Linked DNA regions of Astyanax mexicanus. The protein of the gene in region 1 interacts with the protein of each later gene in a pairwise test. Links are inferred from orthologs where the notes say so. Each region holds a gene or a part of one and is shown on either strand. Other genes may lie near its edges. The genes, in order: bag3, fam189a2 and litaf.

Region 1 (11,224 bases):
GGGGGGGGGAAGAAAAAATAATTACTTTCTAGCACATCAACAAAAACAAAGCCAACCAAATTCACTGGATATAAAGCTAGTCTTTCAATTTCCTTTCCTTCAATGTAGTAATGAGGTTGTACCTTGGAAAGCCTTGGTAATAGAATAAAACTAAAAACCTCAATGAACCAAACAGACAGGCTGAACTTTTGATTAGTTCTTGCTATGGTAATTAAATTAAAACAACTTCCATTTACATCTAAATAGAATTAAAAGTCATAAAAATGTAATAGTAAACAGAAATAGAAATAACCTTCACTTTGTGTTCCTGAGCTGGAGCCTTACCAGTTTGTTATAGAAGGACACAAATCCATACCCCTTTGATTTCCCTGTTGTCATATCCTTCACCACACGAGCATCCCTGAAAGAACACGGTAAACCATAATAGTCAGTTTACTTATATCCTGGCAGCACTGTAAAGTAAAGAAAAAACACACACACAAACATTACTGTAAAACATTTTACAGTAACCTAAATGATTCATTGAAGTCATTACACTAGCAGTTCTCTACATCTTTTAACTATTAATGAGCTATCAAAAATATATATACACACACATGTTCATGCAACCTACACTACTGTCAGTTTTTAAAAGCTCTTGCTTAATCCTGGTTTTCACTGCATACTGATCCTAGTGTTACATACTAGGTCTTACACTTTCATACCACTAAGAATAAATATACTTAAAAAAAAAACACAAAAATAAATCAATTTGTTTACCATGCATTCCTAATTTCTGCTGTTGTCTCTAATCCTACCAGCAGAGATATATAGAAATATCAAAAGAGAAAAAAAGGAATTAAACGGCATACATGGCCTGTTAACAGATTTCTTTATTTTTCCTGGTCAATTCTTTACCACCATTGTGGAGTTTGGGAAGCTGCAAATTTTGAAAAATTGACATTTTCAGAATTTTAAGAAAATCAAACTATCAACAAAACTAGGCAAACCATAATGAAACATGAAACATTTTACAAGACGTTTTGAAGGACTGTTAAAAACTACTCTACTTCAGGGTTAATATAAAAATACTGCAGTACAAGTATGAAAAGTAAAGAGTGAATAGAAAAAAATCTACATCTGAGTTCCCAGTGTGCACAGTTCCTTGCTGTTAGCCTTCAAGCTCCTGTCCAATCCTATGAGCATTTCTGTAAAATAACCAGAGTGCTATTAACTGACACTCACAGCTAGGGGGGAAAAAAAGAATCTGAAAGATTCAGATTTACATTGACAATTTTAAATTCCATATATTGAACTGATTTAAAATGAAAAAAAATTAAATCCACTCACCATTTCTTCAAACAGGAATGTTTAATGATCCAGATATTCTATTCTAGGACACACCTTGCTTCTGGCACTAACCACGTTTTACTAAAAAACCCGTGTTTTATGACTAAATGTGTCATATCTATGTGAAATATTTACTTAGAATCAATATTTCCTTTGCTGTGTTTGTAACTATCTGTCCTGATTAATAGACAGTGTTATCCTAGGTCATGGTATTTCATACATCACAACTACACATTAATGCAAAAACATTTCCTTGTTTCCATCAAATATCCACTCATACAAACCTCTCTAGCTGTTTATTATTCAAAGAAAAGAACAAATCATCATTTGCAGAAAAACATAACATCTGCAAACTTACGAAATTTTCCCAAAGGGGGCAAATGCAGCTCTGATATCGTCAGTGGTGATCTCAGGACTCAAATCTCCAACAAAAACATGGAAATGATCTGGAAGGAGGAGGAAAAACATATTAATTGCAAGAACTTTTTAAAAGGTTAAATACAGAATCAAATAGGGACCCTTTGTTGCTGTATGTGAAATATATAATTAGTACAAAAACATTGTTTATACAAAGTGTTTAAAAAGAAACAAATCTTACTGGATGTGTCTTTCTTCTGACTGCTTGGAGTTGTTGCCCAATTTACTTTGACTTCCTGCACATAAAAAAATCGTTTTTAAGGTTAAACAGAAGAGTTTTCATATAAAGCAAATCACTAAGAGGGAAAAAACATCTTAAACAATTGACATGGCAAAACAAAGTACCTTTCCAAGAATCTTTCTTCCGTTCATTGCGGCTAGGGCAGCTGCGGCATCCCTGTGTTCAAAGAACTCCACAAAGCAATATGGGTCATTGCTTGTGTGCTGCAGAAAAGAAGGTCCAACAGAGTGTCACTGTTCTGACATTACAAAATAGCATGATTAGCACAATAGGACTTGAAAAAAGCAAAACATTTTCTTAGACTTCATTTAACAGGCAAAGACTTTGTAGGAAACCTAAACTTTAGTTAAAAATGAGTCTTTCAATCAGGGCTATATCCCATTCTTACCTCTGTTATCATTTTACAACTTTTACAGGGGCCAATCTGGGTGAACAACTGGAGTATCAAGTTCTCTGTGACATCCCTAGAGAGGTTCCCCACGTAACTGAAAAACAGAAAACACAGACATCCAGCATATCACAATGCTCAGAATGAGAAGTGAGAATAAAGCTTATTAGTTTAATCAATTCAGCAAAAATCTCAATGAAGCTTGCCTTTATGGCAAACCATTTTTAAATCTCTGTAATGCACTTTTTTACTAGTGGAAGCTCATTTCAGAGATCAGCTGTGATTTTGTATTAGTAAAATCAGATCTATAAAGACATTCTTACTATTCATTTTACCAGGAAGACATACCCTAGATCAAAGTATGACTACTCATACAAGTCATATCCAATCATTTAATTTATCAAAAGCCTTATCTATATGTGCACTTCTATAACAGAAATCTATAATTATTTTCTCCACTGGTAGATACTGTAATTTCAGATATCTATAATGTAATTCTGACAAATTCTATATTTGTACAACTTGAAAAGTTAATTATGGACCAGGTCTTTTTTTTATAGAGATGTGTAAATAACTGAAATTATTCTGGTATCCTGGTGAAAAAAAGTAATTCTAGATGTCTGTAATTGGAGTGTTTACTTGTAAAAATGCTAGAACGTTGATAATGTCATAGATCAGGTAAATATTTTACTAATATCTGAAATGTGAGTTTCTACTGGAAAACAAAAACGTAAATTACAGTTTTTTTTCTCAACAGCAGATTTCTTCACCTTACAACAAACCACACTAAAATGCAAAAAATGAACGTTAAAAAAGTCCAGTATATTTAAGCGAAATACAAAGAGCTTTTAAATCTCTTTATTTTTATTGGTAAAAACTGTCAGTTCGCTGGTGTCAGAAACGGCTTGCCACATTGCCCTTATTGTTCCAGATGAGCGAAAATGACAAAGGAAAGAAAGGCTAGCGTGTCTCTTTCTTTATTAAGCTAGCTAGCTAACTAGTTTGCCACCAATAACGTTACTCTTAAGAAGAAAACTTTTCTGAAAAAGCTAATAAATAACAGTGCCACGCCAAAAGGCAGAAAAATATAGGATAAAAACCCGATGTTAGTAAACCTAAGGCTAGCTGTCTGACAGTCACATTGTTTTCCGTTTAAAAATGCCGGAGAGGGCATTTCTGTAGCTTACAGACGGGCTGCCAACAGTTGTAGCCGTTTCTATAAATAGATCAGAACACTAAAACAATGACAACAAATAACAGAACAAAGTTGGCATTTCGTCGGGAAAATGTCTAGAAGAACAATAACCGTTCGTGTAAAGGGTGCACGGCACTGTAGTCTGTTATTAGGCCTCTGAAATCCAGCAGTGAGCGGCTGTGTGTCAGACAATAGCTAACGTTAAACAAGCGGCTACTGCTAGGCAGCTAAAGCTAGCTAGCTACTTTAGCTATCCCTTTGAAATTATTTGCTAAGCTAAGTTAAATTACTAGTCTATTTCATTGGATACGAGTCCATAATAAATTATAAAATTCTGCTTGTGGAGTTGGTTAATTATGTAACGGTAGACATGTAGCTATGACACCACATACAGCCCTTTATATAACTCAATTTTGTTTCACATAGCTACTCATATAACGTTAACTTACTTTAACTTGGACGGCTAACGGCGGCTAGCTAGCTGCTAGCCCCGCTCACAAGCTAACTATCTATGCAGCTAACGCTAGCTACTTATATTACCCATAGATAAACTGGCTAAGCTAGCTAGCAACCGTTGTTAGCTAGCAAGCAACGAGCTAGCAAACAGAGGTGAGCAGCAGTTCACACATCAGGCAGACAACACAACTCACTGACAACTCTGCACACTATGATTTTCACAGAGTTTAAACAGTTCTAGCCCTGTCCCTGAGCGCACATCTCTGTCTGAGAGGAGAAAAAAGACCCCAGAACAGGTTACGCTCCCGTTAAGTGAACGACTGTGGTTTAGAACACTCCAGTCTAAACGTATAGACAACTATCCCGCTCTAAAGTACTCACAGGGTTTTTGGGTGGCAGTCGTCTTCCATTCTCGGATGTCGTGCTAAGTCTTCGTGTAACCTCTCAACGGCTCCTGTGCCCTGTTATTTTGGTTAAAAGAACGCCAGACCGATTTAAGCTAGTTACTTTCTTTATTGTGTAGAAAATGGCGAAACCCGGCCAGCTAGGAATCCAGCCAACGCGCATGCGCGCAGCATCACGGGGTTGAGCACTGTTGAGCGAGTGCGAGCGCGTTCAAGCCCACAATAGCAAGTAGAGCGTAGCCTCAACACAGCGCAGTATGTGTGTAGACATATATACAGTTTGGGGGGGGGAACACCTAAAAATTATGATTTGTTTTTAATTTAATTGAATTTTTGCTTGAATTTTTGCTCCAGGAGTGGCATAAAGTTATCCTAAAGCATTTTGTAAGATTAGTGGAGAAGAACTTGACAAGATGCATGAAAACTGTGATTAAAACGGATGATTATTTCACCAAATATTCTGAACTCTTAAAACTTAATTAATAAGAACTTTATTATTGCATTATTTGAGGTTTGTAAGTTTTGCATCTTTTTGTTATTTCAGCCATTTCTCATTTTCTGCAAATAAATGCTCTAAATGACAATATTTTTATTTGGAATTTGAGAGAAATATTGTTAGTAGTTTATAGAATAAAACAACAATGCTCATTTTACTCAAACAGAGACCTATAAATAGCAAAATCAGAGAAACTGATTTAAAAAATAAGTTTTCTCTCATTTTTTCCAGAGCTCTATGTGTTTGTGTATGAGGCTTCACAGTAAGATATCCTAATGGAACCAGCAAAAATGTTTTTGTTTTTCTATTATTTTTTTTTATTATTTAATTAGTATGGTTAGGGTGCTTATATATATATATATATATATATATATATATATATATATATATATATATATATATATATATATATATATATATATATACACACACAAAAACAGAAAACAGAAAAATATATAAAAATATATATTCAGCTATAGGGAATGATTCTCCAGTATGTAGCCATGTGCCACTAGTACCAATATTTGATATGCAGAAAATTACAAAGTTTTGGATATATGTGTAAACTAATTGTGCAACAATAAACATTTACAACTATTACTACAACTACTCTAGGCATAGGTCATTGTGTGGGCTATGTGATGAAAATTAAAATGGTAATAATTTGCTTAAGGACATCTATTAGTGATTGTATTTTGAAGTGATTTTATTCCAAATTCCTCTTCTCTTGCTCTATAATTTAATTTTCAGTGGTCATTGCAGATGAGTTTGAGCATAGGAAAATGTATTAATGCAAATCAATAACTTCTTAATGCAAAATGTCTCTAATCATTCCCACGTAGCATTATACAAATATGCAGATTCCTGCACCCTTTTTAGAACATGTGGGGAACTTGATTTACTGAGAGATTAATCCCACATTGGCTTGCTTTAATGTAGTCTATGATCAGGAATTACATGCTAGTTGAAACTAATAAAATACCTCAGCAAATGCATAAGAACATGGAACATAGTCTCATTTTTCTGATGTCCAACACATTTAGTGATTTCCCTAGATTTGACAATTAACATTATGTACATAGCATATGTACACCTCTACTTTACCTCAAGTACATGGTTTGTGTACTTTGTCCACCATGTTGAAAACAGACGGATTGTATCAGATCAGTGTGGAAAAAGGGATGTTACGGGCAATCATTAAACTGGACTAACTTTCCAGGACAGGAAAAGATGACCCCTGCACTGAACAAACATGGTGGCAGTATAGTTCATGCTGTACTGCTGCACTTTTTTCATACACAGTATATCAACCTGTTAACCATAAAATGACCAGAATGATAAGTGTATCATGCTGCCTGTCATTTTTTTGCATTGTAGGCTTGATATAGCTGTGGTGTGGTCTGAATAATTGCTATTAGTCACTTGCTGTTAGTCAGTTGCTTGCATTTGATATACCAGGATTATAGGCAAAAGTTGACACTGTATGTTCTAGAAATGTCTAGAAAATCTAATCTTAATTTTGATAGCATAAGACTCTAAATGCTGAGGAGTGCCCTTCTGTCCTTCCCGTATGTTTTTTTGTCCCTGCCCTTCAAACATCTTTTGTTTCTATACATCTCAAAATATTTTAATATTTTAAATTTTCACATAAGGTTCTATTTTCTTTAGATTCTTCAGCATTGTCTCTAAATTATTTAATATTAAGGATTTTTTGTCATTCAAAATTATTTAATAATATTCTAATCAAATATTATTATTTTTTTTTACATAAGCAGAAGCTTATAGACGTATCCATTCTAAAGGGGTAGGTCAAGCCTCCAAGACTCAGCTGTGTTCAGCCCACTAGAACTTTCTCAGCAGCCCACCAGCTGCTTCGAGAAACCCACCCCCAGTCAGCCGTACGTCATCACATCGGTCCTTTAAAGGATCCGTGTGCGCTGTCATGGCACAATATTCAAGAGCGAGACTACAGCAGAGCATGAAAACACTGTCTCCTGTGGAAGCGATGGCTACGAATGACCCCCTGCCGCCAGGATGGGAGATCAAGATTGACCCTCAGACCGGCTGGCCGTTCTTTGTGGATCACAACAACCGCGTAACGACGTGGAACGACCCGAGACATGACTCTAAGAAGGTAGGATCTGCGGAGAGAGCCGTCGTGGCGCAGTCGCAGAACTGCCATGGAAGAAGTTGCGCTCTCACGTCCCTGTCGCTTCTCTGCTTTGCTTTTTTGCGGAGTGTCAAATAATGTGGCTGACAGGTGGTCTCCGGTGGGCTGGAGGGGGGGAGGCTTTGGTCTTTAGCTAGCTGTTTATTTGCTATTTGCTCTAGTGGACTGGTGGTGGACGTAGGCGTGAATAGTTTTTTAGCATAACTTTGTGTGGGTGATCTGATTTAACTGGCTACATTATTATAGACTGCGTTGATGTCTACATTCCGCTACATACATTATAATAAAAAAGCCTATAGAGAGACTTTTAAATAGCCAGTGGAGATACGTCGTATAGGCTGCTGGAGATACTTCTAAAGGTTCTGAGCTGAGCGGAATTATTAGTTGATTATTACCTTGGTTAGTTGGCTAGTTGAATGACATCAGGCCACATTCCTGAAATAGCGCCTCATATATTCTTTGTAGCTACCAGCTATCACGCTGTGTATAATATTTTAGTGTTATGATCTAAGCCGGCCAGCCTGCTTTTAGTGCGTGTGACGCACTGCAGTTGCATGTAGCCAAGCCTTAAGACTCGGAGTGTTTCAGAGTCTCCATAATGGTTATTTTTAAAGAGGCTGAAGCTCCACACACACACACACGCACAAACACACGCGCACACACACACTGCGTTTGTTCGGGAATATCGCCGCTGGAACTGCGCGCTATCATGTCTGTCCTCTAAAGTTTCCCTTACATGGGATTTGAGACGGATCCACCCTCTCTCTGAGCGCGTCGGTGATGACCAATGAATGGGTCGATACTTGGAAAGGCAGAATCATGGTGATTCAGTTGTTCAATTTCGTCAAAAAAAATTAAATAAAAGGAGAAAAGTCCTACTTTACTTTACTTCACATTATAAGCTGGAAATTCTTCTAAGCTGTTAGGTTGAATCACTCACTATAGGGTGCAGACTGTAGGGCTCGCCAGTTGGTATCTCTCATTAGAAAGATCAACACGTTGCTGTTGGCCAAAGTTAGTGTCACCAAGAATCTGCTGGAAAGACACAGCTGCCAGGAGATAAAATGAGCACAAGGCCGTCTCGGTGTCCACACGTCCATGCCAAAAAGGCAGAGGACACAAGGTCATTCACCTACTTCATTCACTTTAAAGCATTTTCTTTCTTCAGTTTTCTCACCAAACTACATGCTATACTATATACAACTACTTGTAAATGTATCCTAATTTTAGGTTAAACCAAAGCTAAACCAAATATAAGCCTTATTGTGTGGACCGACCAGGTTTAAAGACCTGACCACCTCCACCACCAGCACCACCACAATATCAAAATTTTTGTTTTGATTGCTGTCCCTCCCTGTGTGGGATGAGAGATTGTCTGGGGCCCATACCTCTGATTCACACTGATGAGTAAGGGAGGCCTTTTCTTTCTCATCATAGATCTGCTTAGTGACGCCCACCCCCTCACAAAGTGTATTTTAAGCTCCAGTGTCAACTAAACAGCAACCCATTCAACATACACACATGCACACACATACGCACACATAGAAACACATAACATGAGTCATGTAATATATGTACAGTAGCCTGTATAACTTCTGTATAGCTGTTGAACAGCCTATAGTTGCATGTAAAATGATTTATACTGTGAATGTGCTCTTTGCTCAGCCCTCACCCCATTGTTAAAACAGATTACTGTACATAAGTTGAGTTTAGCTCTAAATTTGTTGACCACACTGGGAAATTTCATACTTGATTTATACCACACTACTTTCACATGGCTTTACTTTAGCACAATTTGCAAAGATCATAAAGCACACTGTAACCATAAATATTTACAACTTTACAACAACCCGAAACTGAAATTAAAAGGCTAACAGCTTGTAAGACATAACACTGCACCATAAATCTTAGAAACTTTAATGCAATACTTACTTAAATTAAATTATTGCAATTTACAATTTACTCCACCTCTGTTCTTCGATAGTATGTCCTTAAATAATAGTTTGAATCATGGAAAATCAATGGAATATTCTGCCTGTGATGAAACGATACTTGTTTTCCTTACGGTCATCAGCGAGGTGATACTTTTGACATTGTGTGTAGGTATTTCACAACATCTAATTATCCTGCACATACCAACGGAGCACTCTCACATCTTACAGGAAAAAACAGGCTTGTGCTTATTATTTATGCTTGTTTTTTACATTTAATTTTGGACAGTCAGCCTGTTTTGTAATTAAATTATAGTCAAACATTTTATCATCTCTCTTCTCATACATTAAAATGCAAAGTTCATTAATAATAAAGGATAAAGTAGGGCCAAGAAAAAAAATGAAAACAGTGAAGAAAGCATTAGAGTGTAGAGTCTTCTATGGATTAAAGCAGCAGTATATTTGTCATAGTGTACAGGATTTCAAAAATATGAAAATTTATAGTATTCTATATAGTGGGTCAGTTTTGTTAATACAGTGATTAGAGTGACTAAATGTTATTTTGGTATTGTGACACACCACCAAAGGGGAACAGGCATATCTTTTCAGGGTAAAATTTATTTGATCTGACTTCAGATTTAAATTTGTTAAATACGAAAAACAATGAGGGATGACTTTTTTACTCAATGATTAAAATTGCTTGTTGATTTGTAAGAGATATTCTGCTAAAGACCCATCAGCCCCGTAAAGGTTCTGCTTTAGCCTACTGTTACTGCTACTGCTGCGAATAATACGCAATAAAATGTATACTTTTATACCATTTGTCAGTAGGGGTTTACCTTAAAATAATTTAAACCAGCTTTACACCTAGTTTAGTGCTTCATTGATTTGTAACAGTGGGCACAGCATCTATATTGCTGCTACTCTGGGTTAAACAAGCTGCTGCTAAGCTAACTTAGGCAGGCAGCAAAACATTGGCGAAAAGTGTAATATTTGTGTTAATACTCACTGTAATATTACTCTACCTTCTAAGCCCTCATGTTTCTTCTTTAACGGTTCTGTATGCTTTTAAAGTACAGGAATGCCTGTTAGATTATTGAAGGGTGTCTCAAAATGCAAATTGCACATCCCGACTGTAGGTGGAGCCCAGGAGTAAGAAATACCAGTGCTCACAGAATGCTGATTTAAAATGGCCATAAAATGCAGCTTTTAAAGCGCAATATATAGGTTGTCTCGTAAAGATAACGCAACAGATGGCATAATTTCTATATTTCTGCGGAATTTGTGGTTAAGATATGTAAAATCTAAAGAAATATTAGATTTGAAATATATTAGAATATTAATATTAGAAATATTGGCTTTGATGTTGACATGAATACATTGAATTGTTTTATTGCTACTGTCAAGCAGAACATTTTTTTGACACAATGTAAATCAAATGTTACTTTTTCCACAATAGAAATGCTACAGAAATGTAAAAAAAAAAATTCTTTGTTTATTTCTGTTAAAAGATTTGTTCCTTCTTCTGTAAAGTTTCCATTTTTGGAGACACATTTGTTGTGTGACCATAACGATTTATATTTTCGATATTATGTAAAAACGCTTTATATAGGGTCAGTTTTGCTTTCACAAAAACTCTGCCATGAATCAAAATATTGTGGCGTCTGTGTGTGTTTGTGTGTGCCAGCTTGTAGTGTGCCTGTGGGGGCGGGTCATGGTAATCCGGGGCCAGCGGGGCATTATGGGGGTATGTTTTGGGTGGGTTAAGGGGACCTACCATCTCTGTGCTGGATAGCTGGGTTGGTGGCGTCAGGGTTGTTTGTGCTGTGTTGGCTATTGGGTTTCGCTCTCCTAGCCTTGTTAAAGGCTATAAGGGAGTGGCAAGCCCGTTAATAAACAGCTGTTGAGTACTTGCAATGAGTCTCATGAGTCCTCCTTCTTCTTCCACACCACAATATTTTTTTTTCATAAGTCAGTATTGACAGCATATTAATAACTATTACTTGCAATTTCTTGTAAAGTAATTTTAGAGGCATTAAACCCTTAAAATAATTGTTTCTCAAGAACAGAGCATTATATTTCTATGTAGGGCTAAATTACTATGTTTCGCATATAAATCGTTAGTTTATTTTAATCGTAGTTAATTTTACAAACGTTTGGAGTTGTACATCTTGAGTGGCTGAAATGAAAAAACTTA
Region 2 (10,954 bases), on another chromosome or scaffold:
GCGCAGTACAGAGAGAGCAGACTCCAGAATGCTGATCTGGGATTGATGAGAGGAGGTCTGGCTTTCAGCCTGTTTTCTTGTATAAACACAAAACACAAAATACTTCTATATACGCTTCCATACTATTTAAAGATGCTATAGCATTATAATAAAATGTGCCCGAGGCAGATCAGCATGGCTCTTACTGTAATAATTCCACCTGTAGTTGCAGACTGGCTGCATTACTCTGAGACCGACAGAGGCTCTTAGTCAATGCCGCCATCTCCTGGTCATGACTGGTAATGAGCTGCTCCACTCTGTATAAAACACAATGTATAAAAATTATGCATACATACATATTTAATTGTACAAATAACTGACAATCATATCAATAATCTCAAATCATTATATATAACGTTATTAAAGCTATATAGTAAATGTGTATTGTTTAGTTGTTTATATGCATACTTCACTTTCTGCTCCTCCAGAAGAGATTCTGTTCTCTCAGACGCCTCTTTATTAATGTCTTCCAACTGCCTCTCCAGCTGCCCAAAAAAATAATAATAATTAACTGCCAGTCAGGTGATACTTACATTTGCAACAATTCAGTTTAAAGTGATGCCATTAGTCACACATATGAAAATATATAAAACAAAAAACACAGGTTTATTTCCCTCCATTTATGGAAATATTTTCATCCACTCATAGTTGAAAACACTTGCATTAGCATACCTCATAAAAATGGCTAACATCACCTTGTCTTTTAATTCACCAAAGGCCTGTCCTATTAGCATTTTTTGTGGACAATGCATAGTTGCAAAAATATTGCGATAATAGCATAACAAAGCAATTAAAATCCTATATATTTTTTTTTAGAATCGACAGTGCGCCTTATGATCCAAAATGCCTTATGTATAAATTTTAACAGTCAGAACAGTTAAGCCACTGTGCTGAAGTGCAGAAGAGTTATACAGGAGTTCCAGTTTAGTTCTCCAGCACAGAGACTGGAGCTGTATTAGCATTAGTAGCGTTAGTTCTTTTGTCATTCAGAGGCGAGTATTATCGGTTGCTAACCTCGGCTAGCACTGCTGGAGCTACCCGCTATCTGCGCTAAGTGCTAGCGCTAGTTATTTTGCAGTTCCAAAGTGAGTATTATCGTCCTGTAGACTGCTGCTAACCCCGGCTAGCACTGCTTGAGCAGTATTAGCATTACCCGCTAACCGCACTAAGCGCTAGCTCTTTCACCGTTCAGAGAGATGAGTATATCAGACTGCAGTCTGCTTATTTACCACGTTACGTGCTACGTGGGACGAACACTTAGGGTTCCTCAATGTAGCACTGTCTGGCTGCATTAATGCTAATGCTGCTACTTACTGAAAATCTGGAAATCTAAGCTAACTCTAAATAAAGGTAGCCCTTTACTTTCCCTAATAAATAATTTTCATTTTTTTAAGAATTACAGTTTTGTTCACTTAGCTGAATAAAATACTGTTCACTGTTACATATGTGACCAAACATACAAAAATATAATCGACAATTTTACAATTATCACAATTATCAAATATTATCAAAGTAACATTTCTAACATATAAAAGCATTTAGACATAAGTGACATACCGACTGCAGTTTCTCCTGGAGACCACAGTTCTCATTTTCAATATGTTGTAGTGCTTTCTCCAGGACTGGTCCTAGCGGAAGCTTGTCAGGATTGAAGGGGCCGTCACAGCAGAGATAGCTCCTTTTTCCACTGCGCTTCTCATACTGTGAGAGTCTGATGAACACGTCATGCAGCATCTGCTCCATGGTCTCTGCTTGTCTTCTAAAACACTCTGCTCTGTCCTCAGCTTCCATCAGCTTCTGCTTGACTTTGTGCAACTCCTGAAGAGTCTCCTGTAACTGTCCTGTTAGCTCAAATTGCTTCGTAGATTCCTTCTCTCTGTAAGGAGAAAATGTACAGACGTACTGCACTTCAGTCATAATTAGATCACAAGGGTTATGTTTAGATTTCTCTTACCTTAAGTCTTCCAGTGCATCTTTTTCAATCTGGTTCTCGTGCAGTTTGGTTTGTAGCTGGATGATGGTGTGGCGGTAATGATACTTCTGCTGGTCATGCAGCTCATATGTCTGAAAGAAATTAACAGGGAATATTAAGACACTGTATAAGGTCAAATCACCTGATAGACCTAATTTTTAATCGATATAGCAAAAATACTAATCACAAGTTTTATGTTGCACCATACATAATACAATGTTTTTCCCTCAGACATTTAAAAAGCCATAACACAGAAAATATACAAAATAACACCAATAGCACAAACTGTACATAATATATATAACTAATAGTGTATTAATTAATATTAAACATATAATATACCCTAAGGCACTAATTACATTAAATTAAAGTATTATAACAAGTATTTAAGCTTTTTAATGAAATACCCTGTTCAGTGTCGAATCGCTACTCAGAAAAAGCCATAAAATAATGCATTAAAACAATAATAATAAAATATTGTCAAATCCACCAGTCATTATTAATGTTTTCATAAGCAATATGACTGCAACTGCAATCTGTAGATTTGTGAATGTCATTGATTTTTATGTGGACTGTGCACTGCAGCCCTAGTATGAAACACAAATATCACTTCAAAAAGGCTGCTAACTTGCTCCAGATACAGACCTCTCTGATCTGCCTTTGAAGGTCAGAGACCTGCTGAGAGTACTCCTCTACAGCCTGCTCAAGAACATCTTTCCCTGGGAAGTTCAAACATCCTGCGGTGTTCACATCCAAATGATCGGCAGTAGGTCGAAGGACGCACGGTTGTCTGTAAATGCCACGTTCTGATGATGCTTCTGATGATCTACCTGCAAGACAGAAGCCAAAATCATGTAACTGAGTTTCATGTAGACTTCAAAGTATACAGATAACAGGCTATTATCAAAAAGTGTAATATTCTCACTTGTTGCTGAACTGTAGTTTACTGGCAAGTCCGTGTTGAAAGATGTCCGACCCATCCTCTGCATAGTCAGTCTGGTGGCTTGTTCAACTTCTTCTTGAAGCTTTTGTGTCTCCCTGGTTTGTTTCTCCAGTTCCTCACTTTGAAGAGTGTGATTAGTTTGTTTAGAACAAAAAGTGTTTTTTACATCACTATTTTTCAACCCACCTTTTTCTTGGAAACAGAGGCATCACCAGGATTGTCAAGTTAGTGGGCATAGCAAAATGGATTTAAAAGGTAAAAAAGACAGACAGACCAAAAGGAGGTGGGTGGAAGGATGGAGGGATGGATTGACAGACGGACGAACAGAGAGACAGGTAGGGAGAGAAAAAGACAGATCAATGGGTGGATGGATGGACTGACAAAAAAGACAGGTGGATGGATAGAGAATGGAATAGAGGGACAGGCAGAGAGATGGAAAGATTGATAATTGAATGGATAGGTGAACAGGTGAATGAGTGAATTGATAGACAGATCTCTCCCAAATATTAATTATTCATACCTCAGAACATCCAGGCTGATATTGGGTCTTTCTGGCATGCCTTCTTCCAAACAACCTAAAAAAAGATTAAGGAACTGTTAGACTTAGATTAGTAAAGTCTGGCCTGCTTAACCAACTAGTTAACTAACCTAGCTAGTTAACTGTCGCTATCGCTAACATACTAGCTTACTACCAAACTACGATAAACTTTTACAGCCTTAAGGGTTTTCCTGCCGCCTTTATGCGGACTAACAGCGGGAATATTAGAGTTGAACTCACCTGGGGGAAGAGCTGGCTGAAGCGGGTCCCTCACAGCTCTCTCACGGCGGGGCTCGACCTCCGGGCGGAGGCGCTTCTCACTCTGACCGGTAAACATTGTTCGCAGAGTCGGGCTGCATTCTGTGATTGTTCACTCTTCAACACTGATAAAATAAACAGCGGGCGAAATAGTAAATATGGAAAAGCGGAGCTGGGCGAGTCGTTAATTTGCCGGGCGCCGAACAAAATGCATACTTACTAAATTAGCTTAGCTAACCTCGCTAACTAGCAAAATAACTCCGTTCAATAACTTTTCCCCTCTCTGTGAGCCAAGGCAGCTAATTTAGCTTAGCTTAGCTTAGCTTGTTAGCCTACAGCTTAACTGGATGAGGGAAGCCGCGCTGTTGCTCTAGCAACAGGTATCCTACTGTACCAGAGCCGGTGTTCCGTCAATTTGTGCTATCTTGTCAAACCGTGCTGCCCTAGTGTTTATTTAACTGTAAAAACACCATAGTAGAGCATGTTTCCAGTAAGAGTCCCAGTAGATGTAGCTAGCTAGTATATTTGGAAAGCATAAATTACTGTACCTTGGCAACGAGAGGACATTACAAAATGCTTTTGTATTTTTTATACTAATTATTGTATTTTTTTATTCTTATTAATTTTCATTTACACTTTTTTGTAATGACAGTGAGTCCATGTTATAACAGATTTATTATTAAAACAAAACAAAACAATTTTGTTTTTAAAGTGTTTAAATCATCAAAAAGTGTAGGTCAGCGCATGCGCAGTGCCTTAGGAAGCACGTATCGATGGGTATCTTAACCCGACAAAACACCGGTTCATGGAGAGACCGCCACTTACTGGTATTCCTGCCGTTACTGTCATAAAATGAGCTCAAACCGCTAGATGGAGCCCACTAGTGAGTCCTTAATGAATGGGGGTCAATGGAGATAAACAGCTAAAACTTAAATTAAAAAATATAACTAAATACTTTTCCAGGATATTCCTCTAATTCTAGAAAGTAGAATGAAGTATTTTGTTTAAAAAAGCAAAGAAAACGTAACATATATTTCCAGTTTCTACAGAAAATATAAACATTAAACCAAACTATTAATTCGCTCCATACCATAGACTGTATATAGCTGGACAGAGCATCGTCTCTTAAAAGTGAAGCCACCACAGGTCGGGCGCCCCCTGCTGTTCGGCTGCAGAAAGCTGTGTAACTCCACCCATCCCCATAGGTTTCAATGGCAAAACAGACAACTTTCAATCACGTTTTTTTCTAATATACTGTAATTCTACCTCCATTATTTAAATGCAACAGCTAGTGTAACCTCTGCTTATATTGTCAAATTTTTATATCCCCACAGAATTCGGTTTTTAAAACTTTATTCGGCTCTATTAAAAAAAGGTGTGGTTATGGTAAAAGGGCTGCTTATGGACGGGACCAATAACAGACCGTCAGCTCCGCTCCGTCCCGCTCTGCAGTCTGTGACCGCGAGGCAGCCCTCAGGGGCGGGGTTATTTAAAAGAGTAGGCGGTCTCTCCACAGCCTTTCTCCCTCCTCTGGTCTCTACTGCGCAGACTCTGGTCTCTGAATCGCCAAAATGGCGGAAGATTTTGGCTTCATTTTCATTGAATGAATGGGAACGGCGACACGGCGTCCATCTTTATATACAGTCTATGTGCGATCCTTTTAAATGGCGATTCAATTAATTTGAATGGGGATTCGTTCTATTATTTTTTTTTCATTTTGATTCTTTTACAGGAAATTACTTTTAAGGGCATTTTTAAGTAGCTTTTAATGGCTATTTGATGATTCGATGATCTAGAAGCTTTTAAATAAGCGGCATGGTAAGACACCTTTAAGTATGTAGCATATGTTTAAAAGCTTTTAAATCTGTGGCATGATTTAGAAGCTTTTAACCTTCAGCATGATTTTAGAAGCTTTCACGTCTGTGTGGTGCTGGGACAAGGCAGTGTGAAGGAGAAGGAGCTTTGCTTTTTTTATTGGTTTGATTTATTAAAATCTGTTTGTGGTCATCTTATTTTAAGAAATGATTGATTTATTATAATGCACTCTAAGATGAGAGCATGACTGCTGTTTGGTTTAAATAAAAAAGAATCAGCAAAATCATCTTTCTTCACTCCCACTCTCTCCCTTTCTTTTTTCTTTCTCTCTTGTTCTCCCTCTTTTTCTTTCTCTCTCTTGTTCTCTATCTCTCTCTGTCACAGTCACTTGTTCTCTATCTTCTTTTTTCTAACTCTTGTTCTTTCCCTTTAGTCCTGTTCTTTCTCTTTTTCTACTGTTTTTCTCATTTCCTTTTTTTCTCCCTCTTGTTTTCACACACTCTTGTTCTCTCATTCTCTTTTTCTTGTTCTCTTGCTTTCTTTCTCTTTCTCCCTCACACACTCTTGTACTCTCTTGTTCTTTCTCTTTTGCTCTCACACACACACTCTCTTTTTTCTTTTTTCTCTTTTTCTCTCTCCTTTTCTCTTGTTCTCTTTGTCACACACTCTTTCTCTTGTTCTTTCTTTTTTTCTCCTGTTCTCTTTTCCTTTTGTTCTCTTGCTTTCTTTCTCTTTCTCCCATTCACACTCTTGTTCTCTCTTGTTCTTTCTCTCTTTCTTTCTCTTGTTCTTTTTTTCTCTGTCATACACATCTCTCTTTTTCTCCTTTAATCTTTTTTCTTGTTATCTCGCTTTCTGTCTCTCTTATTCTTTCTCTTTTTCTCTTTTGTTATCTCTCCAATTCTCTCTCCTTTTCTCTTGTTCTCTCGCTTTCTTTCTTTTTCTCCCTATATTTCTCTCACACACTCTTGTTCTCTCTCTCTCTCTCTCTCTCTCTCTCTCTCTCAGTGCAGGGTGGTCTATTCCCACACACTCCTCCTCCTCCTCCTCCTCCTCTTCTTCTCTTGTCTCTTTGCCAACTATGTGAAACGCAATCCGGGCGCCAGGAGTTATTTTAGACCCTCGTGTTCTCTGTTTCTTTCTCTCCACCTCGAGAGGATCATGGACGGAGCGCTGAGGGGATCCAGCAGCTCCTCCCGCCGGTTTCAGCTGAACCCATTCGGAGTAAAATGAGGGACCCGAGCCGCCTCCGCTCCCCGGTCACTGCTGCTCCTCTCCTGGCCGCTCTTCTCCAATGTCTCTGCCGGTAGTCCTGCCCGGTTCCTGCTGTCGCTTAGCCCGGGCTTCTCTAGCCCCTCACTTCGGAGAGCCCTCGCCGTCTTCCAGAGGCCGCAGCCGCTGCTGCTCGGCCGCCGCTCGGTGGCGAATGTCCGGCTCCCAGGCGCGGCTCTCCCCCGCGCTGCTGCCCGCTCGACCGCTGCTCTCGCTCGGGCTGCTGCAGCTGGTCCTCGGCTGCTCCATGGTAGCGCTGTCCTTTGGGGCTCTGTCCCTCAGTAACTCGCCTCCCATCCGGAATTCGTGCCCGTTTTGGGCAGGATCTTCAGTGAGTACCTCAGTGTCTGAGATTTAGCTTCATTTTTAGTTATTAAATACGTGTCCTGCAGTGTTTGCTTTGTGTTCCGTCGTGTTTATAAAAAATGTAAACAAGCTGCTTCCTATAAGATTTTCAGTCTGTCATGTTTACATTATATAGGTTTACCTGCATGTTCCAGTTTTCTTTGGTTGTTTTTGAGTATGATTTATAGTAGTGGTAGTGTAAAGCTGTTGTTGTGAACACCACAGGTAAGCTTTAGCTTATACTTGATTAGCTAATTAATTAGTGTTTGATTGAGTTAATAGGATTTCCCTGCTGAAAAATCCACCCCAATACCAGCTTTTGCTAGTAGCTGGTTTTGATGGTCTTTCAGGGGCAATGTGCTTGAATAGCTGGTTACCAAATAAAAAAAATGATGGATTTGGTATACTGCTTCAAAGCCACATTATGTTTATGTGAACTTCAATTTTGGTCACAGATAGAAAAGTTATAACCCAGCTTGTTGACTAACTACTCCCAGTATTGTCTATGTTGCTTTTGAGTTTGGTCATGTTAGTCCAGCTTGGTCTTGTTGGTCAGGTTGGTCCTTCTTATAGAACCAGATAAACCATCAAACCCAAACAAAAAAAGTGTACTGAAGACCTAATCTGACAAACCATTTTACCCCCAGCAAGGATATAATGAACAGTATATGACCACAATTCTGTTACCTGCAATTACTTTCAGTGACCTCAAGCTTTGGCCATATTTATCTCAAATACAAACACTGAGATGAGCGGATGACCTGTGATGTGTTTATAATGTGGTGATACAGTAGCGAGTCAGTGTTTATAGTTTTTGGTGTGTTGTAGTATTGTTTCCTTAAGTACTGACATATTTAGACAAACACCTTCTCATTTGATGTTTTTTCCTTTTATTTTCTACATTGCAGTTCATATTGAAAACGATGAAACTACTTAATAAATAATATTTTTTCATAGAAACAGTGTTAAACCAGAATATTTTTTTATTCGATTCTTCACATCAGTCCTGATTTGCTTTAATGACAGCTTTAAACAGTCTGGGTCATTTTTTTCTCTTGTTCAGCTTCATAAGTCACTGTGAATATTTTTCTAACAATCTTGAAGTGGTTACCTGAAGTGTGTAAAGTCCATATGTATTTCTTCATAGTATATTTCTTCAATATTAACCAAATATTAATCTGCACAAAAAACAATGAGAAGGTGTGTCCAAACTTTTGGCCCATGTATTGCTAAAGATTTCTCTTATACAAACACACTGGCCTGTAGTGTACAATTTCTCTCATCTCGGATGAGGTTGATCAGATGTGTTTGGTGTCTAAAATTGTTTTTTTTTGCTAAAGCTTTGAAACTATACTAAACTACTAACTATAGTAAAAATGTATAATAGCTATATTTTACAAAAGTAATACTTATCATAAGTTCAAGTCCAAACTAACGAAGCAAACTTCAGGTACCAAACATGTCTTGGCCAATCAATTACGCTCAACTATGTAGCTATGTATCGATTAGCTATTACATAAGAACCACTGACAGCCGCAGCAAAAAAATATATTGATTATCTTGGTCTTCAGTGGGATTTAACATATTATGCAGCAAGTGAACAGTCATTTTTGAAGGTGATGTTAAAAACACAAAACATGGACAAAAATCAGGATTTGACCCGCTTTGACAATAGCGTAACTATGACGGCTAGACAACTATGGGCTTAGAGCATCTCTTAAACATCAGGTGGTTGTGGGTTTTTTTCTGCAATGTGGTCCAAAAAAGGACAACCTGTGAACTGGCAACAGGTTAAGGGGCACCTTAAGGGGCAGCTCATTGATGCAATCTGTTCAGGCCCAAACTCACAACATACAGAGCTTAATGGATCTGCTGCTGGTAACATGTTGGTGCCAGATACCACATGATGCCTTCAGAGCTAATGTGCAGTCAGTGCCTGACAGAATGGTCAGATCGGTTGTGGTGGCACAAGAGTGACCTACACAAAACTCAATATTAGTACGCAATTTGAACTCACCCCAAGTTGTTTTCTTCCACTCTTGTCATACATTATTCATCATTTTTTACTGAAACAATTAGAGGATAATGAAGGATTACTGAGGAAATCCAGGAATTGTGTAGCCACATATTAGAGAAGCATCTCTAAATTATTAACAGAAAGTAGCATTCAAAGATGCTGAGGTAAAAAAAAAAAGCATTTAGATGGTTTGAAATGAGTAAAATGGGGTTTTCCATGGACAAAAATACATGAGACCATCAGAGCTAAGAAACAAAGAGCAGGATGTAAAAGTGTTGGTGGCCATATGGTAATACCTTACGCATCTGCTGCAGCTACATTGCAAAGTTAATCTGTCTGCTCCATGGCGTATTTGCTGAATTAGCTGATTCTGTTCTCTGCAGGTCATCCTCTCGGGGATTATCGGTCTCACAACATGGAAGCGGCCAATGCTCCTGCTGGTACGTGTCTCACTGCTTCAGTTTCTGACTCTGGTTGATATTCACGCTTAAAGGGATGGTACATAGAAAAATTTAATTCCCACAAACAGTCCAGTGGAAAAATAATGTATGTTAAGTGTAATCCCATTTCACCCCTTGGCCCTACCACTTACTCTTAATCTTTTGGTTTGTGCATGCATGCCTAGGAGTTAACCAGCAGCTAGGTTGCTGAACTTTAGCGCTTCACTGCTATATATTTGTATTGGGTACTTAAAAGGGTGGTCCCATTTTTAGGGGCAAGATTTCACCCCTTCCACTTGTTACTCTCTTCCAAGGGAAAGGGGTTAATGGGATTGGACCTTTGTGTGGAATGTTTACTTATTTAGTTTTGCTCTGCAGCTTCAAAATAAAGAAATTAGTCCAAAATTCTAAATAAGAATCGACAGCATATCTATAGTATATATTCTCAACTGATACCACCCATTTTAAAAACAAGGCAAGACCCCACGAATAAATTCAGTCCATTTGACCCATATTGTTTATTTATTGTGTTATTTTCACCCCTTGTTCCTCCAATTCACCCCTATTCATTTTTAGACTCAAGCCTTAGTTTTTTTTTGCCCAACAACCACCAAACTGTGCGATCTGTAAGATCTAATCCACAGTCATACTGCCCAAAATGTGAATTGTCTTCTTTCAGCAAAGGTCCACAAGTTCTTATCCACAGCTGTACTGACCTGCACTCACCTATTTATAATTTTTCATCCTTTGTTCCTCCCAAATCTCCTCCATTCAGAGGCTTTGATTTTCATTTGTCTGGCAGCCACCAAACTGCTTGTACTCCTTCAGGGCAGGTCCCCAAGCTCTAATCCACATCCACACTGACCCATACACATCTGTTTGTCGTTTTTCATGCCTCTTTCCTCTTGTTCAGCTGTTTCCTTTAGGAAGTGCACTCCTCTATTATTGTATATTATACAACTCAAAACAGCTCTGTGGTATTTTTATTTGTTAGGGTGTAAACTACTAGCAAGAAGTTGTACTCATTGTCAGTGATTCACAAACCCACGCTCACTGACACACACACAGTCACATGTTGTAACAGAAATACATACTTCTGTCTGTAGCTCAGTTTAAAATAAAGCTGGTAGGAAACTGTTTGTGTTCCTCCGGTTTTACAGGAAATGGCTACCATCTCTAAGGATCAATGATCAGTAAACATGCAGTTAGTTTAAATTAGTGCTAATAAAGATAATGTATCATCTAAGCCGGTCCAAGGACAGCACTTTTATCTCCTTATCATGGATTTCTGTTTGCAGCCCTTTTCCTTATCCTG
Region 3 (10,846 bases), on another chromosome or scaffold:
CATACAATGTATGAATATTCCAGTTAAGTGTTATATAAAATAAATATATAAATGTATTAAAAGGGACATATTATATCCCTTTTACATAAGTTAAAATAGGTCTATGGGCCACACAAAACATGTTCAAGAAGTTCTTCGCACAAAATCACTCTCACATAAAGAGCGATCACAGCTCTATTTTTGCCAGTTTCAGTGCCTTTCAGAATGAGCTGTTTAGTGCTCTGTCACTTTTATGCAAATAAGCTGTTGCTGGCCAGACCCCATGTTTATGCTAATCATTTACCACACATTAGTGTTTGCTTTGGTTAAATAGCAAAACACAAATAAGCTCAAGAAGCACAAAGTAGCAGTTACAAGCAGTAACTTGCCATTAACAGTAGGTACAGATCCCTCCTTCAAAAGAAGTCTGCTGGCTAATCCCCGAAGTGGCTCTGATTGGGGTTGACAGGTGAAGGGTGGTGCCAGGGTGCTTCGTTGTTATGTCACAATAAGGGAGCATCCAAAATCCACCTTATAGGCGCATATTCCTGACACCTAACTCTTTCAGCTTATTCACAGAAAACTGATGGATGAAAACTTGGTATTTGGAGTGTTTACAAGGGCTGGCGAGACCCAAGTGGAAATACAAAAACATGCAAAAAAAAAAAAAGAGTTTTGCATAATATGTCCCCTTTAATATGCTATTTTAGAATATTTATTATTATATTGTATTATCTGATGAAACTGGTCTTAACATAACAGTAATATCGTTTATCGCAATCATTTCTGGAAACAATAGATTGTCTATGAATTGGTTATTGTGACAGGCCTAGTCTCACATGTGATCTGTGTACTGGTTTTCTAATGGAAAATAAAGTGCACCAAAAAATCCTCAAGTTTACACAATTACAACAGCAGTCTTAGAAAGGCATACACTGACAGTATGCTAGGCTAGGCCTGTAGACATCATATTTATATATTATATGCGCTACAGTACATTAATATCAGTACAACAACGGTGGAAAAAGGTGATTATTTGGGCATTATCAGAATTCTTTCTGCCCGTTAAAACCCAGCGTCTGAACACAAGACTCAAGATCAATGAATTCTACAAATGTTGTTCGCATGAATTTCATATAAAAATAAATGATTTTCTCCCACGTGTACAAACAGCTAATGATCAAACAAAACACATACACTTTAATGCCTCAGTCGTTTTCTTCAGTGTGATCAATGTATAGAAATAAAGGTCTATAAAAATAATATTTACACACCTTCCAACTCACATCCAACACCTTCATACAGAAACAAAGTGCTCAGCCACCATTAAAACACCTCTGGATTCTCTCCAGTCATTGGCTCTGCTTTATGGCGGTTTCTTAGCAGTGCAGAATCGGTATATATGTATATAAATCACATAAAAATGGAATTCACTGATTTATTAAAACGTCTTCATGATTCAGTAATTAAGAGGTAAACTAAGACATTCAGAGTGGTTTGTGAAATTAATCACTATAGAAATTAGGGGAGAGACAAAACATTAATCAATATTTGGCCATATGTCATATACTATTCCTTTTCTTTGCAATATATTAGCAATATGTGGCATCAACTATCATCAAAATATTTATTAAAACAAAGGAGGTCTTAAGTCTCTAAGTCTCGCCCCTGAGTCTTACTTACTAAAGTTACTGCTTCATTACTCCACATGGTGGCACTAATCTAATAAACAGGGTAAACCTGCGGTGAAGAATATAGGTTGTTAAACCAATGTTTGTATATACTGTGACATATATTAAGTGCTTGATTTTAAAAATGCATTAATGCATATATGCATTATTGGCATTGTCACACATTATAGGACCCACGTAGCTAAAGAAACAGGGCGATCACTTCTCTGTTTGCATCAATATAACCTACAGCACTGTCCACTGTTGGTGGTAATTCCTTAGATATGACATAATAACTGGTACACACAGTATGTTACACTGTGGATTGAGGAATGTTAAATACCTGTACAATTTCTTATTATTATCACAAAATTTAAATACATTTTCACAGCCAAAATGCATCAGTAGTGATATCTTTAAAAAACGCTGTTCAAATACCGTTACTTTCGTATACTGAGTACAGTGACTTTTATTTGAAAATAAACTGTAATTCCTCCAATTAAACTAGACTAATAATCTTTCTTTAATGAAATGTACAGCACTGGTATCTTTGATATCCTTTCATGGGTATATTGTCAATACAATAAATCACAAATATTGTCAATACAATAAATACAATCACCTGTATAATATTTAAAAAATTAGCTACTGCATCTACCTCATCTGTTTTCATTTGATACATATATATTGCTGCACTAAAAGGTAGTAATTCTCATTTGTGAAAGTTGGGTTTAATGTCACTTTGAAATAAAGTAAAAAAGTAAGCAATTATATAATTTTGTCATATTTTTCGAAGAATAACTAAACACATACTTAAATGTGGTATATCATGATATATATATATTATATATACAGCATATATAGTATTATGAACAATGATTCACACAGGCAAAAAGTTAAAAGCATCAACAAAATCAATTTCTATTATTTTCTATGATAATTTCACACTGTCCACTCTGAATGACTGTTCAGACATCAATCACTAAATTATGTAGAAATTTTAAGTTGATCAGTTGAATAAATCTCTAAAACCTAAACCCATACATCATCATAACCCTGACCTGTGATTAAATGAATTTTGTAAGATGCACATAAAAGTTACTTGATGGCATGTCAGTATTAGAATTACTCATCAAAACTCTGATTTCGGGTATTCTCACACTAGGTGGTCTGTCCTGTGTTTGAGCTTGTCTCCCCCAAAAAGTCTGGTTAGTTTAACTAGCGTAAACGCTCTGTAACAAAATTCTGTGCAATCTTGACAAGAAACGCAAAACCAAAAATGTACTTTGTGATGATGTAAGCATACTAAATCCTGGAGTGGGAGAAAAGGCAGGGATGATCATTAGGTTTAGGTACGGTACCAGTAAACCAGGCCTAGTGTGAGAACACCCTTTAAGATAATTACTGCTATTGACTATTATACAGTCATTACGCTTCCTGTGTAAAAAAAAAAAGCATGTCAGATGTGCATCTATTCTTCCCTTGTTTAAAGTGACTTAATAAATCCAGTAACAGACTGCAGTTATTCCTCCTTTTCAGTGCACACCAGAGCCAGCTCTGGCAGAAACATGAATTATTTTAAAATACTACAAACAGAAAATGTGTTTTTTTTTCTGCATTTTGGACAAATATGTGACCTTTAAACATTAAGGGAGTGATTTGAACAGATGAATAAAGGTCAGCTCTTCTATAAAAATGCAGGGAGCTCCTCAGTTTCACATTATAACAGGGTTCCACTGGACAAACACTAATAGGAAAATGTCCAAACAAGGGTGAGTTAGAAGCAGCTAGACAAATGCATGCACTGGTCATGTTTGGTGTGTGTGTGTGTGTGTACATGTGTGTGAGACAACCTGAAGCCACATCCGGTCTTAAAAGAGAAATGATCATGATCTTAAGTGCTGAAAGTCCTTGTTCTAAATACAAGGATCGACCGAATCGGACCCCTGTGGACCCTCACACAGAACATCTGCCCTGTAACAGGGGAATTAGCTGTGGCTCTCGGTACCGTTAGGGGTCAGCTTGGTCTTATGCTCGACCCGTGGGCCTCGGGCTGAGTACTGGACCATCAGAAACGGCTCCTTGGTCTCTCCCTCTCCGACGATGCTCTCCTCGTCCTCGGATTGGCCGATACGCTGCAGGCGAAGGTAGCACCAGCAGCCGAAGATCAGCGCCCCCAGAGCGGCGATGGCTATGAGGATCACGATGATGGTCACCACGCCGGTGGTGGGGCTGTGGTCCATTATAGACATGCTTGTTGTGGAGGAGAAGTCGTTCCTGGTGTTAATAAATCAATCTGGGAGGCTGGCCAGCGTGGTTTTGTTGGCCTACAGGTCTTTGGATATCTGATTCAGAAAGAAAAGAGAAACATGGAAAGGTTATAATGAGTATCAGCTTTTTCCTCAATACCAAGGGTCTTTTCACATAGTTTATTATTATTAATAGTTTATTATTCCAATATGTATTAATAAATATTATTTATTAGTAAAAAAAAAAAATTCTCATCTTATCAATAACTTTATTATTTCCCTTCTTCACCTGTCAGACCTCTTCTACTTTTCACTGCTAAAACTGAGACTTAGTCCAATCATGTTAAGCTAAAGAGCTAAAGGCTAAAGCTGTTTCCATGTGGGTCAGCCAGACGTCTTCCTGTAGCAGTTTTCTCCAGTTTCCAAGAGTCTTTTAAAGGTGTAAGAAACACTACTCATCGCTCTCTGGCTTTTACAATCTACTATATATATAAAATATATATTTACAGCGAATCAGTAATAGCCCTGACAATTTACGGTACAAGTTTGTACACTGAATTTTGTCCCATTTCCGGTTACTGACTAAACCTGGACCATTGTGAGCATGTGTGCAATACCAAACAATTCCTGAGATTTGTATACTTTTAATTTAACTTTAATTAGGTTCTAATTCAGAAATCCTTACAGCCAGGTTGAGATGATTACAGTAAAGTAAAAAAAAAAAAAGTTTACTCAATTTAATTTATCATGAATTCTCTATTCCAGCACCCTACGTTGGCTTTATCTCCATTCAAACATACAAATATATACTAGTATTTTTGTTGACACCACTAATATAAATATAATTACATTTTGCATTTCCAACATTCAGTCTTTTATTAACATTTAAATATCCACTATAAAAACTTGCATCTTAAAAACAACAAGTGTGATTAATCACAGTTAATCACAGAATACTGTTGTGATTAATCTGAAAACATTTTTTAATCGATTGACACCACTAATATATATATATAATATAGGGCTGCAACTAATGCTTATTTTGGTAGTCGACTTTACTGGCAATTATTTTTCCCATTAGTCGATTAGTCAACGAACATTTCTGCCATACCCTCCATCTCTGCTTGATGGCTGGGTATGGCTGCTGTTTCTAATTTTCTTCGTCTTCGTCTTAAATGTCTTTGCTTCAGCTAAACAAAGAATTTAAATGCCCTTCATATGTCCAGAACATTGCCCTTAAAATGTGGAAAGTGCTGATATTTAGTGAGGAAATGTGTACTCTGTTGCGTTTAGGCATGTTTAGTACTTTGTGTAGTGCTGCAAATTAACGATTAGGTCAAGGAACATTTGGTGTTGACAAATTTTTATAATCGACATTGTTGGTTATATCAACTAATCGTTGCAGCCCTAATAAAGAAGAGCTTAAAAAGAGCTCTTTGACCTGAAGAGCTTAAATAAATTAGGGGTAGTGTTGTAGTTTATGTTATATTTTTAGTTCTTATATAATAACTAAAAACAGTTTTTATGTGCCGAAATAGCAAAAACACTAACTAGCTGATATAAAGCCTGAGTTAGGCCAGAGTCAGAAATCAGAGTCAGACACACACACAGCTTCTGATCTGAGAAACAGGAACCTCCTTCTGCGCGGGATTCTCGTCAACTTTAACACCAAGAATCAGCGCAAGATTTAGAGCACACACTGCAGATTATCTGTATTACAAACATATTTAATTTATCCCTTCATAAACTCTCTATTTCTCACCATGATCCGCTGCAGCTCCGCCGCTTCATTCCCGTTACCGAGCGGATCAGTCCTCCGGACCGCCCCCCGCCATGTCCCCGGCCCTGATTAATCCAGTTTAATCCGGTTTAAAACACTAAATACAGTAAATATGGCGATAATAAAGACGAATCAGAGTTAAACCCGCTGCAGCAGCGACATCATAACACAATATATAACCCAGCAGAGCAGGAACGCTGGGAGACTGACTGTCACAGGGAAGGAAGTGAGATCACAGCTGCAAAACTGAGCTCAACCAATCAGAGCAGCGGAAACGGCAGCTGCATAGAAACGGGGCAAAGCTTTATTTACCACCAGCAGCCATCCAAATAATAAAAATAAAATACAATACATAAATAACATATACATAAGATAATACATAAGATAATAAAATGTAAAAAAAATTAATGTAAATGCTATTAAAGGGGATCGAAACCCCCTGATTTTTGCTGAGTGGGGTAGTTTGGGGGAGTCACTGGATGATGTATAGGTTTAGGGGCGGGGCATGAAGGAGAGCTGATTGGCTGAGCTGGGGGAAGAGAGATACAGAAAGAGAGAGAAAGATGGAGAGAGAGGGGAGAGAGAGAGAGAGAGAGAGAGAGAGAGAGAGAGAGAGAGAGAGATGGGGATGAAGAGGGAGAGGAAAAATCACAATGTAACCAGAAATCACCAGGTGATAAAAAATATGTTAAAGAGTAGAGCAGGGAGTTCAGGAGGAGCAAGAGCAGAAATGAGTAAGTAAAAGTCAGTGCTTTTTTTGCTAATTGTGTTGCTATTAAATAATGACTGGAATATAAAACTGTTATAAAATAACTAATCAAACATTAATGTTACAGTATTGTTAATGACTTAAAGATAAATACCAATACTTATAATAAATAATAAAATTGGTCGTACACTAGTTGTTTTGCTATTTGCTACAAACATGTGACAGACATATATTTTGGGCTAGTTTAAGTTTTTGAAGAGCGGGTTTAAGACTGACTTTGGGCTGGATTTTTTTTTTGAACCTGGCAACCCTGCACATCATCTACGCCTATAGCACAGTTAATCCATAGAGGGCGCTGCAGAGGCGGAAAATACCACAAAATGGGTTTTATTAAAGAGGCACTAAACCCCCTGATTTTTGCTGACTCCACCCTCAAAATAAGTCTAAACAATAAGAGGGGTAGTTTGGGAGGGGCACTTGATGATGTATGGGTTTGGAGGCGGGGCAGGAGGGAGAGCAGTGAAATGCAGATGGTTGAACATCAGCAGGTGGGTGGTATTATTGATTGTGTGATCTCCGTATTGTGATTTGTCTGCGTTCCAAAGTACACGGACACATCATCCTCGTCTATAGCACAGTTAAACCTAGAGAGCGCTGCAGAGGTGGAAATTTCCACACTAAAAGGGTTTTATAAAAGGGGCACTAGACACCCCTGATTTTTGCTGACTCCACCCTCAAAACAACTCAAATTTGAAAAAGTAAAAAAAATAGGAGTGGTAGTTTGTGAGGGGAAATGGGTGATGTATGGGTTAAGGATCATATTCTATGTCCTCTGAAAAATAATAACTTAGTTTCAATTTATGTAATAATGAGTAAAGTAGATGTTGTGGACTTTCATTTCTGTTACCCAAAACATAAAAATTAACAGAAGTGAGTTCCAGCAACATGAATGAGTGCCGGTAATAGGAGTGATTGTTTTGTCATAAATATCAATTATTTAAACATGCAGTCAACCATTTCTTTACAATAAAGACTTTCTCATAGAAAATCAAAGGAATTAGTGGACTTTTTTTTTTAATGTCACGTGAGTTTTGTAACAATCTTCGGCTTAGAAACCTTGTAAAAAGTTAAGTAAAGCTGCCTGAGTTTGACCAGTACATGTTTTGAATAGTTAAATATGTGTTATTAGATTCAGAGTTGAAAAAAGATAAAAAAAAAAAAGTTTTATTTGAAAGAGTTACAACAATCATGTGCCCTCAGTGCATTTATTAGAACTGTGTTTTATAAATGTATAATAATCACAACTCTAACAATCCTTACCCAATTTTTTACAAGGTTTGGTTTGTTACAAACAGCAGATGTAGCAATGATACAGGAAACTGTTATACATTACAAATAGATGCTTTCATACTAAAATATTTTGTAATATGCTGTTATGCTCTTTAACAAAAACAGACATATGGTATGGCATATAAATTGTGTATAAATTAGTTCATTTTATATTTATATGTACATACATACACATACATATACATATAAAATTAATTCATTTACACACTTGAAGTTTCACGTTCCACAGAGTTTATGTTAATAATTCACTTCTGATGTTGATCCGGGTCTTTTTCTGGTGTTTTGTTTACAGTGTGAGTGAAGGGCGGGAGCTCCTCCAGACTGAGCCCATGTGACTGAAGGCGGAACTGGAGAAACGCTGTGAAAACAGACGGAGATGAAAAACTAGAGAAATATACTTTAATTCCCTCATCTGAAGCTCTTCTACACAGCGTGAGTCTGAGACACTGCTGAGATCTTATACACTGTCTGATTACTGAGCTGATAGACGGGGGGATGAGGGGTAAAGGGGGGAGTTTGTTTTTGGGCTGAAGGCTGAAGTTGTGCTGAAAGAGGAAATATGGCGACTTTGTGATGAAACGTGTAAAAGTGGCTGAACACTTTCACTTTAATAGAGCATTTTATTCTAACTGCTATGGTTAAAATATGGTATATGTGAGATAGACTGTTAGTAAGTACAGGTGGGCAGTACCTATATGTGTATACACATATATATATATATATATATATATATATATATATATATATATATATATATATATATATATGTATACATATATACATATATATACATATATATATATATATATATATATATATATATATATATATATATATATATTGTCAATCGATTAAAAACATTATCAGATTAATCTGAACAATTCTCTGTGATTAATCACACTTGTTCTTCTTAAGACATGAGATATTTATATTAGTGGTGTCAGTTAAAATACTAGTATGTATTTGTATGTTTGAGGGGCGAAAAAAAAAAACAATTGGATGGAGGAAACTATTTTTTTTTCTTTATTGTTATCTATATGTCTGAACCCAGACCTGCTCCAGAGCATTACAATATATGTACAGGTGTATATATATTTGTATACATTTACAGGACACAAAAAATACATTACTCTTTTTTGAGATGCAGATAAAAGGCTTTAGCACTAATAGTACTACAGCAAAACAATTTGCTGAAATCCATTCTCCTATCAGAACTAAACATGGTATTTTAAAATAAAACATGTGAATGGGTGATATGCACAACATGTACACAGAAAAGCAGCAGACTGTTTATTATAGTAATAAAACTCCATCTTTACGATACATATCATGATAGTAAATGTCATATGGTGAATTTGTGATAAAACATGTGAATGTGGCTGAGCATTTGTACTGATCCTCACCCTGCTGCTGCTGCTGCTTCTTCTTTTCCTCCACAGCTCCAGGGATGGCCAGCGCTCCTCCTATGGAGATCATGGGTCCGACGGGACAGGCAGCTCCCTGCCCACCGACTTATGAAGAGTCTGTGAACGCAGGAACGCCGTTCCCCCCCGGGGCTCATATGCCCCCTCCGCCTGTCTACAGCAAGGCCCCCCAACCCCCCTACCCAGCCCAGGGCTACACCCAGATGTACTCACCTCCACCTCCTCCCACTGGACCTGGAGCTCCTGTGGGTGAGTAGGAGCATGGTGTTTCTCTAGAGTTTGGAGACTGAGCCTAATTCAATTAGGAGATACTATGTGTGTGTGTGTGTATGTGCTGCAGCATTACATCATTGCTACATCATAAATATAAATTATAAATGTTAGATGATCTACACTGTCACTAGGTTTGATGAAGAATATACTACTTGCATTACTTAAGTAAAAAAAAGGTTGAATACTTAATATTTAATTTAAATGAGAACTCTAGTGTAAAATGGACTTTTGTTGTAGTAAATCATGATGAAAAGTACTTACCTTTGATGAATAGCACACCTCCGTTCTCCCACAGCGTTCAGAGATACAGAAATTTGAACAGTTTGTCCAAACACCCTTCAGACTGGATGACACGTGGCATAATTTGCCCCGATAAATCGCTTTTTCCACAGTTATCCAGCTCAAAGTAGCTCCACACCTCCCTGCTAGAATCCGGAGAGCCCTGCCATTTAAAATGAGGCATTAATAACTTAAAAAGTACGCAAGAAGCTTATTAAAAACACTGTTCACATCCCATAACGCTAGCTTCAGCTCCGTGTGCCACCATCACTGTACTGATAATGACATAGACAAATACATAGACATAGCAGCCAGCACCAGGAGGCAGGCTATGTGGATTCCATGTATATATATATGTCTGTCATTATCAGTACATGACAGACATATATACATAGATCCCTTAATATTTGACTGTGGAGCTAAAACAACACATCAACTTCTGCTCAAGTTTCTTTTTTTCTGGAACACTTGAACTTTTACTAAACTTTTAATTCTGTCTCTCTAGTACTTTATATACACACAATTACATGCCTTATTGGATAAAGCAACTACAGTACACATGGTTGACTCTGTAACAAATTGTGCCTCTCCCTGATCTCTTCAAAGGGTTATTGTCTGCCAGTAACTAAAACCCTAAAAATAAAACCACAACCTGTGTGACAGAAAGAATGGCTGAGGTTTTACTTCCTGAAACAGAGAACTTTCACTATAATACAGAATTTCCATCTAACTGCTGTGGTTAAAAGCTGGTATATGTAAGATAAACTGTAAAAGTATAGTTGTGCAGAACGTTTTATCATATATGTATTGAACATATACACACATACATATACACTGTCTTAGTATTAAAAAAACACACCATCATGTTTATCCAATCAGAACATGTGTTTTTGTTTGTTTTTTCTTCTCAGTGACTGTGCAGACCGTATATGTGCAGCCTGGCATGGTGTTCGGGCACACTCCAGTGCAGGTCCACTGCCCTAACTGTGCCCAGACTGTAGTGACCCGTTTGGATTACTCTTCAGGCACTATGACCTGGCTGACCTGCGCAGGACTCTTCATTTTTGGGTGAGATACTATAGTGAACATCTGATAGTAAGCTAATAAAGGCAGGATTTTACACAAAATTTGTT

The links.
Region 2: the proteins of bag3 (region 1) and fam189a2 interact in a two-hybrid assay, tested with the Homo sapiens proteins (2 studies listed by BioGRID and IntAct). The link is inferred for Astyanax mexicanus from reciprocal best matches to the Homo sapiens genes BAG3 and ENTREP1.
Region 3: the proteins of bag3 (region 1) and litaf interact in binary tests that used the Homo sapiens proteins (3 or more experiments, as listed by UniProt). The two-hybrid records come from large-scale screens. The link is inferred for Astyanax mexicanus from reciprocal best matches to the Homo sapiens genes BAG3 and LITAF.

Annotation. Positions count from the first base shown.
Region 1 is NC_064414.1:37,722,410-37,733,633, reverse strand, and holds the start of bag3 (BAG family molecular chaperone regulator 3), read left to right. Parts: upstream 1-6,845; 5' UTR 6,846-6,868; coding exon 6,869-7,060; intron 7,061-11,224. Other genes in the region: tial1 (nucleolysin TIAR), read right to left, coding at 325-400, 1,688-1,775, 1,928-1,982, 2,092-2,190, 2,376-2,472, 4,408-4,436. UniProt on the Homo sapiens protein: Co-chaperone and adapter protein that connects different classes of molecular chaperones including heat shock proteins 70 (HSP70s), e.g. HSPA1A/HSP70 or HSPA8/HSC70, and small heat shock proteins (sHSPs), e.g. HSPB8.
Region 2 is NC_064429.1:24,060,412-24,071,365, forward strand, and holds the start of fam189a2 (protein FAM189A2), read left to right. Parts: upstream 1-6,578; 5' UTR 6,579-6,859; coding exon 6,860-7,168; intron 7,169-9,582; coding exon 9,583-9,639; intron 9,640-10,954. Other genes in the region: coiled-coil domain-containing protein 158, read right to left, coding at 1-76, 186-296, 448-524, 1,597-1,915, 1,994-2,103, 2,657-2,841, 2,937-3,073, 3,475-3,529 and 1 more. UniProt on the Homo sapiens protein: Functions as an activator of the E3 ubiquitin protein ligase ITCH in the ubiquitination of the CXCL12-activated CXCR4 receptor. Thereby, triggers CXCR4 endocytosis and desensitization, negatively regulating the CXCL12/CXCR4 signaling pathway.
Region 3 is NC_064410.1:58,134,956-58,145,801, forward strand, and holds the start of litaf (lipopolysaccharide-induced tumor necrosis factor-alpha factor homolog), read left to right. Parts: upstream 1-6,289; 5' UTR 6,290-6,412; intron 6,413-8,029; 5' UTR 8,030-8,169; intron 8,170-9,176; 5' UTR 9,177-9,184; coding exon 9,185-9,410; intron 9,411-10,624; coding exon 10,625-10,781; intron 10,782-10,846. Other genes in the region: snn (stannin), read right to left, coding at 3,638-3,901.